2 linked regions of the Rattus norvegicus genome follow. The protein of the gene in region 1 purifies or fractionates together with the protein of each later gene. This does not show direct contact. Links are inferred from orthologs where the notes say so. Each region holds a gene or a part of one and is shown on either strand. Other genes may lie near its edges.

Evidence for each region. The genes of interacting proteins can lie anywhere in the genome.
Region 2: the proteins of Notch2 (region 1) and Dll1 purify together in Homo sapiens (affinity purification with western blotting; 3 studies listed by BioGRID). This does not show direct contact. The link is inferred for Rattus norvegicus from reciprocal best matches to the Homo sapiens genes NOTCH2 and DLL1.

Annotation. Positions count from the first base shown.
Region 1 is NC_086020.1:188,424,344-188,428,558, forward strand, and holds part of Notch2 (neurogenic locus notch homolog protein 2 precursor), read left to right. Parts: intron 1-788; coding exon 789-1,090; intron 1,091-2,213; coding exon 2,214-2,361; intron 2,362-3,112; coding exon 3,113-3,210; intron 3,211-3,946; coding exon 3,947-4,215. UniProt on the Homo sapiens protein: Functions as a receptor for membrane-bound ligands Jagged-1 (JAG1), Jagged-2 (JAG2) and Delta-1 (DLL1) to regulate cell-fate determination.
Region 2 is NC_086019.1:64,990,141-64,994,921, reverse strand, and holds the start of Dll1 (delta-like protein 1 precursor), read left to right. Parts: upstream 1-1,647; 5' UTR 1,648-1,931; coding exon 1,932-1,985; intron 1,986-2,211; coding exon 2,212-2,505; intron 2,506-3,186; coding exon 3,187-3,247; intron 3,248-3,450; coding exon 3,451-3,708; intron 3,709-4,781. UniProt on the Homo sapiens protein: Transmembrane ligand protein of NOTCH1, NOTCH2 and NOTCH3 receptors that binds the extracellular domain (ECD) of Notch receptor in a cis and trans fashion manner.

The sequences.
Region 1 (4,215 bases):
CACCATTTCCTACCCTGCATGTGAACCATGCGCACGGTTCAGAAATCCATGTAGGCAAAACACTCATACTCACTGAATAAATCCTTAACTGTGTTTTCCATTGAAAATGCAGATTTCAAAGAAAGGGATTTTGCAGTGTTTCTTGTACAGCATACTGAGGGCAAGCAGGCTAATTAAACAAGTTAGATTCTGGGGGGTGGGGGGTGTTAGAAAAATACTATCTGTCTCCATCACGGGTTCCTTGCTGTAAAGAGACACTGACCAAGAGAGGGAGACAGACAGACAGACAGACAGACAGACAGACAGACTGGGCCTGGCATGGGCTTTTGAAACCTCGAAGTTCACCCCGCAGTGACACACTTCCTCCAACAAGAGCACACCTCCCAATCCTTCTAAGTAGTGTCACTCCCTGTTAACCAAGCATTCAAACCTATGTTTGTGAGGGCCATTCCCATTCATGCCACCACTGCACCCCACAGCAGAAGGCGACTGCCATCCCTGCTTTACATCACTGCACAGGTTTATTTATGTTTCTGTATAAAATGCTGTCTAGTTTGAAATGTCCTAATTCCACTTAAACCCAAGCAGAAAAGCTTATCAGCTTAAGGAAGAGCCGCAGGCAAAGGCAGCTGCTTTCCCACACTCTCCGCACAGCTGGCTTTGTCACGTAAAACCTGGCATGGTTACTGCAAGCTTGGAGAGTTCCGTCCCACAGCAGGATGATGGCCAGCAGAACTGTTCCAGTAATGGGTTAATTTGAATGTTGTTGGGACCTTCCCTTCCTACAGATGGGTGCACCCCACTGATGCTGGCTTCTCTCCGAGGAGGCAGCTCAGACCTGAGTGATGAAGATGAAGATGCTGAGGACTCTTCTGCCAACATCATCACAGACTTGGTCTACCAAGGTGCCAGCCTCCAGGCACAGACGGACCGCACTGGTGAGATGGCCCTGCACCTTGCAGCCCGCTATTCGAGAGCTGATGCTGCCAAACGCCTCCTGGATGCTGGTGCAGATGCCAACGCCCAGGACAACATGGGCCGCTGTCCTCTTCATGCTGCAGTTGCAGCGGATGCCCAAGGTGTCTTCCAGGTAAAGGGCCAGAGTTGGTTTGAGTGGGAAGAGTGAGGTGGCTCACTGGGTACAGGCATGTCGTAGTTACTTTTCTATCTGTGGTAAGATACCATATCCAAGGCAGCTAATAATAGGAAGAATTTAATGGAGCCTACGCTTCCAGAGGATCAGAGTCCGTAATGGTGGAGCAAAGACATGGGGGCAGGAACAGCTGAGAGCTCACATCTCGAACCACAGACAGGAGGTGGAGAGCTACTGGGAGTGGCACCATCTTTTTCAAACCTCAAAGCACACTGGTGACATACATTCTCCAGCAAGGCCATACTTCCTCAGTCTTTCCCAAATGGCCATCAGCTGGGGCCTAAGTCAAAGGCTGAGACTTATTGGGAACAAGCATCTCATTTAAAACACCACAGGTGTTTGCCACCAACCCCAAGAACCCGAGTTCAGTCCCCAGGACTCACATAGTAAAAAGAACTGACTCCTGCATTGCACGGACCTGCCTGCACACACACCAAGTAAAATAACTATTATAGGCCTGTGGTGGCTCAGCTTTACCCAAACACTTACCAGCTCGTTGAATTCATTGGAACAGAAGTCTTTGAGAAACGAATTATGCTGGGCAGAAAAAGGAGGAAGGCCAGCTGACCTACTTTGAGTAGCCAGAGAATGATTCAGTCAGCCACAGGGTTCTGAATCTTAATGAGCAATATTTTGATATGCAGTGATGCCTTGCAACTCTACAGGTCGGATGGGAGCAGGAACTGGTCCAGATCCTTGGATTAGTGTTAATTCTCTATAACTCTGCCCGTCTGTGGGCCTACAGCTGATCCCTGACATGAGTGGGTAGTGAATTATTCCTCAATTAACCTGATGAGGAAATTGGAAAATTCTAGCTGACCTGTGATTGAAGCTGTGACACTTGCACACACATTTCCCTTTCCTTAGAAAGCAGAACATCGTCCTAATGGGCCAGAGCATCCTGATCATCTACAGTGGTGTGAAAAACTCAACAAATACACAGTGAAGCCACTATAGCTTCTAGCACATAAAGATAGCATGCCCCAAGGACACCTCAGTCTGAATGCTCTTGTCTCATTCTTCTTCATCTAAGGGACACTTTTCTCTGCTTCTCTTCTAGATTCTGATCCGCAACCGAGTAACGGATCTAGACGCCAGGATGAATGATGGCACTACCCCCCTGATCCTGGCTGCCCGCCTGGCTGTGGAAGGAATGGTGGCAGAGCTGATCAACTGCCAAGCAGATGTGAACGCAGTGGATGACCATGGTATGGACGAGGACCTGGCTCAGTCTGCAGAGCATGTCTCTAAGCAAGAGAATTGCTACACTCCCCTGAGAGGACGTTCTCAGATCTGGAGATCTGAAGCTGAGAGTCCCTTACTCTTTTCCCGTCTCACACCCTTCCTTCAATATGCTGGGCTCAGAGAACTGAGGCACTAGGAGTCCCCACATTAAGATGAGAAGGGTTGGGGTTGGGGATTTAGCTCAGTGGTAGAGCGCTTGCCTAGCAAACGCAAGGCCCTGGGTTCGGTCCCCAGCTCCGGGAAAAAAAAAAAAAAGATGAGAAGGGTTTTTGGTTTTAGTGTTTTCAGTATGAGGGTTCTTGAATTTCAAAGAATGTTCTGGAAAGGTTTGCTTGTGGGTTCCTAGCCGTAACCACTCTTACTACGGGAGTGGGTTCCCTGGGGATTACGAGACAGCTTAAGTATGCATTTGGCGTATAGCAAAGCGCTTCCTGCCTTCAGTGTGTAGAACTGGGGCATGTGGAGGCCATGAATGTCACACACCAGGGGTCCTGTCACCTAAAGGCTCCCAGCCTGTGCTGAAATGTTCTGAGAACACAAGGAACAGAAATACAAGTGTGCTTTCCTGTTGGCTCCCTTGGCCACTGAGGTCTGTCCTGCTGCTGTTCTCCGGGAGGTTAGGGTTTCCTAGAAAACAAAAACAAGATAAAAATAAATAAATAAACAACACAACACTTTCCTTAGTGCCATACTTATAAAACGTTTCCCCTGCAGGAAAATCTGCCCTCCACTGGGCAGCCGCCGTCAATAATGTGGAGGCAACTCTTTTGCTGTTGAAGAATGGGGCCAACCGGGATATGCAGGACAACAAGGTACAGCTTTCAGCTCAGAGCCTGAGCATGCTCACAGCAGTGTCTCCCTTAGGAGGTCACCTGGGGAAGCTTGCTGGGGGAGCCAGGGACAGAGACCCTGAGGGAGGATGCAGCTTGTTGGGAGGCAGCCCCTGGCTGTTCCGTGCTCATCAGGCTGTCCCTCGGCACACCCTCCCCGCCCTTCTCCTTCAACAGGGGCTTCTCTGGTGTGTGCTCACCACTGTCCTCACGGTCTTCCCCTTCTCTCTGTGCAGCAGTTGGTTTCTCTGTTCTTGGATACCAAAGTCTACTAGGGTTGGCACTACCTTTTGTGGTCCCTCCTGACACGCCTCTCCTTTATTCCTCTTGCATTTACTTCTTTCCTTTGTTGTACATCTTTCCCTCAAGTCTCACCCCCTCTCTTTCGTGTTCTGAATTCTTTGGATACTTTGGTTTCCCTACTCTCTTTCTTACTGGTAGCCCAGTTTGCTGTCCACTTGATGTGAAGCTCTGGCCCTGAGGCCTGCTTCCTGTCACTGACTGCTGTCTAATTGCTGGTGCTCCTGGGAGCAGAGTGAGTTCTGAGATCTCTGTGGAAGTCAAAGTACACGGCATATAGGAAGAGATACTGTCTGTCCATGGTATTTCATAGAAGAAGCACTTAGAAAACGTACTAAAAAGATTATAAGAGAATAAAGGTTAGGAACATTTCTGTGTGCTCTGGGTATTAAAGATATGTTCCACGGTCTTTCTTCAGGAAGAGACACCTTTGTTTCTTGCTGCCCGAGAGGGAAGTTATGAAGCAGCCAAAATCCTGTTAGACCACTTTGCCAACCGGGACATCACGGACCACATGGACCGCCTTCCCCGGGATGTGGCTCGGGACCGCATGCACCATGACATAGTTCGCCTCCTGGACGAGTACAACGTGACTCCCAGCCCTCCGGGGACTGTCTTGACTTCTGCTCTCTCACCTGTCCTCTGTGGGCCCAACAGGTCTTTCCTCAGTCTGAAGCACACCCCAAT
Region 2 (4,781 bases), on another chromosome or scaffold:
ATGTGCCGGACATTGTCGCAGAGGCCGCGGCGTGCGCGGAGGGGGAGCTCTTTCTCTCCGCATTGTGCGGAGAGCAGGTGCTGTCTGCATTACCATACAGCTGAGCGCACAAAGAGCCACTGATTCAGCTTCGCACAATAACAGACTGCCTTAATGACAGCCACGCGAACGACACACACCAAACTCACTTTTTACCAAGCCGAGGGAGGCCTGAGGGGAGTACCCAGGAGAGTGGGACCGGACCCCAGTGAAGGTTGTGGTGGTTGAAAATCTCCGGGGAGAGGGTGTGTACACTGTGGAAGGGTTCGCTTAGCTTTTGGCTCTGCTGGCTTAGGGAATACACTGCCCGGAGCCGAATTCCCCATTTCCAGTGATCGTGGACAACACGGAGACACTAGGGCTCTGGGACACTGCGGTCTCTGGGGGTGCCCGGCCGGGGTCGCGAGCCCATTGGCACTCTTCAAGGCTCAGTTGCCACCCTCGACCAGAGGTATAAAGCGTGCCTAACCTCCCCCAAACTTCCCAAAACTGCCGCGGCGTTCTCGCCACCCTTTGCCCACCTCTTCAGGGGTCCCTTTCCTACCGGGCACCCCGCCCCCCGCCGCCTCCGGGAGACTCCTCCTTAGAAAGAGCCTGCCAGGGAGGAGGGGCAGCAGCGGGGACGCGGGCCTCTAACCTCTCCCCGGTTCCTCAGTCCCCAGGACTGAACAAACGAGGAGAGCCTTGGCTGCCAGTGTTGGAGACGCCAGAGTCCGGAGGCCGCGTCCTGCGAGCGAGTCTAACGGTGACCGCGAGTGGGAGGCGCAGGCCGCCCAGCGTGCCTAGGGTCTTCGGGCCTGTGGCGGTGGGGCGGTGGGCGACGCGGCCTCAGCTCCAGCTCCGGGAGCAGAGCGGTTCGTCTCCCCGAACGTTTTGCAGGAATGTAAATGAGCGGGTTTTGCGCTGGGGGAGGGAGGCGAAGGGGCGAGGGCGGAGGCAGAGAGGACTAGGGGGCGGGGAGGTGGGGGCGGGGAGGAGGGTTGCACATTTTACAGCTCACTGACCATTTGGCGATCCATTGAGAGGAGGGTTTGGAAAAGTGGCTCCTTTGTGACAGCTCTCGCCAGATTGGGGGGCTGCTCATTTGCATCTCATTAGTTATGCGAGCGGCCGGCGGGATTTAAGGGTGGCAGGCGCCAGCCCCGGCCAGATCCTCCGGCGTGCACCCGCGGTTACCCTGTCTGACCAAGGCAGGTCACGGGAGAGCACCGGTGCGGCACGGAGCCTCCCACGCTTCGGCCTCCGGTCCTGGGTGTGTGTGTTCTCGCATGGCATTGGCTGAATTCTTGAGGAAGACGCGAGGCTTTGCGATAGTGGAAGAGATACCGGTCTAGAACACTCTGGGAGCGGCAGCCGCCGCCGAGTGACGCCCGGCCGGGAAACCAGGGCGCGCGCCGCAGTCCTTGCCACCACCTCCAGCCCGTTCCCACCGTGCCCCTCGGGGCCCCGGATTATCGCCTCACCGGTGGGATTTCCAGACAGCCGCTCTCTAATAGGCCTGCGAAGGAAGCCACTGCAAGCTCTCTTGGGAATTAAGCTGAACATCTGGGCTCTCTTCCCTCTGTGTCTTCTCTCCTTTCTCCTCTTTCCCTCCGCGAAGAAGCTTAAGACAAAACCAGAAAGCAGGCGACCCTCACTTACCCGTGGACTGGAAGCCAGAAGAAGAGGAAACCGAAAGTTGTCCTTTCTCAGTGCCTCGCAGAGCTCTTGTCAGGGACATAGCTGTAGCACCGCACCCTCCTGAAGCGACCTGGCCCGATATCACACCTGGAGCCGAGAGGCGCCTTTCCACCAGTGCTCCTCGGGTCACATAGACTTTCCGGGCATCCCTGGGTCTTTGAAGAAGAAAGAAAAGAGGATACTCTAGGAGAGCAAGGGCGTCCAGCGGTACCATGGGCCGTCGGAGCGCGCTAGCCCTTGCCGTGGTCTCAGCCCTGCTGTGCCAGGTAGGGGGCCGGGCGGGGCTGCTGCGCGGTGGAGGGAGGGGAGTCGGACAAGCGGATCAGCTGTCCATCCCCAAGTGACTCCCGCAGCGATGACCCCGAGAGCTGCCCGGCAGCGGGCGGCTCCGGATGGGCGCTGAGGTGCGCTCGGCCTCTGCGTCCTAGCAAGGGCCCGCGCGCCCCGGGTCCCTCCGCCGCCGGCGCGTCCTCACGCCCCTTCCCCGCGCAGGTCTGGAGCTCTGGCGTATTTGAGCTGAAGCTGCAGGAGTTCGTCAACAAGAAGGGGCTGCTGGGGAACCGCAACTGCTGCCGCGGGGGCTCTGGCCCGCCGTGCGCCTGCAGGACCTTCTTTCGCGTATGCCTCAAGCATTACCAGGCCAGCGTGTCCCCGGAGCCACCCTGCACCTACGGCAGTGCGGTCACGCCAGTGCTGGGTGTCGACTCCTTCAGCCTGCCTGATGGCGCAGGCATCGACCCCGCCTTCAGCAACCCCATCCGATTCCCCTTCGGATTCACCTGGCCAGTGAGTGGGCACCTGCGCGCACTCCGCTGGGCCTGGCCGGGTAGGGGTGGCGGGCTGGTGGCTGGCAGTGGGAGGGAGGCACGGGCCACTGATAAGGGTTGGGAAATCCCACAAAGCCACGCCTGGGGTCTTGACTTCTTTCTGGGAACTGGCCGGCAGTTGAGGAGGGGATGTGGGACACCAGAAGCTTTTGCAAGCCCGGGGCATTTCTCACAAACCTCAAGGGTCGAATGCTTCCCCCACCCCCCCCAAAGTTGGGAGAGTTCTTGTTCCCTAGCTCCTAGGCCTGGGTTGGGTCGCTCCCAGTGCTGCGACTGCTCGCTACCCTCGAGGTTCTATCCCCAGAAAACTAATGACAGCTGCCCTCTTCTAGCACCCCACCTTGTTGGTTTCAGTACTCTCTCTTAAAAAAAAAAAAAAACACCACAATATCCTGTATTAACATTTTTTAAAAAACCCACACTCATGGGAAAAACACTCTTTAAAATTTTCCTATTAAGGAAACTGATATGAGTTGACCTTCATTGGCACAATCCAGAGATCTGAGAGCCTCTGTACTTGGTTCCCTTTAATGCCTCTCCTCCAACTCCTCCTCCTCCCCCTCCTAGTCCTCCAACTCCTCCTCCTCCCTCCCCCCCTCCATACTTCTGGTTTATCAAGCATCCTCTCCCTTTTTCCTAGGGTACCTTCTCTCTGATCATTGAAGCCCTCCACACAGATTCTCCTGACGACCTCGCAACAGGTAAGGCTCCAAACCCCTCCCTCAACTATACATTCTCTTCATCGATGCACAGTTTACTTGACCCACTCACCCCAGTCCTCTGCTATCTTCGCTCTGCATCTGGAGTTCAGAGAAGGGTTCTTGGCTTGACAGCATCCATGCAGTGTCCTCAGTTCCTAGCTTTTGGGTGTTATCAGAACCAACCTGAGCTTCTTCTCTCCCAGAAAACCCAGAAAGACTCATCAGCCGCCTGACCACACAGAGGCACCTCACTGTGGGAGAAGAGTGGTCTCAGGACCTTCACAGTAGCGGCCGCACAGACCTCCGCTACTCTTACCGGTTTGTGTGTGATGAACACTACTATGGAGAAGGCTGCTCCGTGTTCTGCCGACCGCGGGATGATGCCTTTGGCCACTTCACCTGCGGGGAGAGAGGGGAGAAGATGTGCGACCCTGGCTGGAAAGGCCAGTACTGCACTGACCGTGAGTCCTCTGGGTCCATTTATGGGGAAAGACATGGGACTTAGCAACAGGAGATGGTAGAGATAGACCAGTGGGGAAACTGAGGCCTAAAGAGAAGTGTTTTTGCAAGGCTCGATGGCAGTTAGGCTGGATTCAGGCATTTTAACAAGGGAGACGTTGTGTCCACTGTAGGAAGCTGCTTTTCTTCACGGGGAGGAGTTCAGAGACAAGGCCAGGGGTCAGGAAGTAAGGCTGTGTTCTCCCTAGGGCCTTTGTATTAGAAAGGGAAGAGAGGAAGGGAGGGGCAGAAAGGGGATGTGGAGGGCTCATTTTCCAACAGTTCTCCTTGTTGCAACAATGTCTCATTGGGAAGCCCTCCCTTTCCTCCACAGAGTTAGGGTGCCTGACCTGCCTACAGAAATCTATTTCCAAAGATTCCCTGTGCTGTACTCTGTGTGCCCTGTCCTGTGGGGAGGCCTTCAATCCTTGGGGCTGTGCAAAACTAGCAGGTGTGCTGAGGTAGACTGCAGGGCTACACAGCTGAGGGTCACCTTGTCTTGTGTAAATGCTTACAGCACGCTGTCTGTAAGAAAAGCAGTAACTGACGTCCTATAACCCTCTTGCAAACCAGGGTACTAGGGCCACAGGGAGGACTTCTGCTCTGGTTCCTGCTCATAGGCACTTCAGGGGGCCTCTCTCCAGTAATCTGAGGCCAACCTGTAGGATTGGCATTTCCTCCCAACATCAGGGCCTGGTGAACTCTTGTTCTTCTGCCCCACAGCAGTTTGAACATTGGACTGTGTGAGGCCCGGAACTTCTGTCAGTGTGTGGGGGAGGATATGCATTAGCTATCTAGCTTTAGGTTTTGCTTGGGGATGAAGGGGGTCCACACTTCAGTGAGAGCCTGGACATCATTGTTGCCTAGTTTTCCATGTCCTTTGATGCTCCGCCTTGGCCAAGAGCTGGCTGTTTTCTTAAGAACTGGGGTTGCTGATCATTAATGGGTTTCATAACTGGGGAAGTGAGCCAGCTCAAAGCCTCAGCCTGTGGCCATCCCCCCACCCCTTCAGGCGCCTCTGGCCTCCCACAGTAGC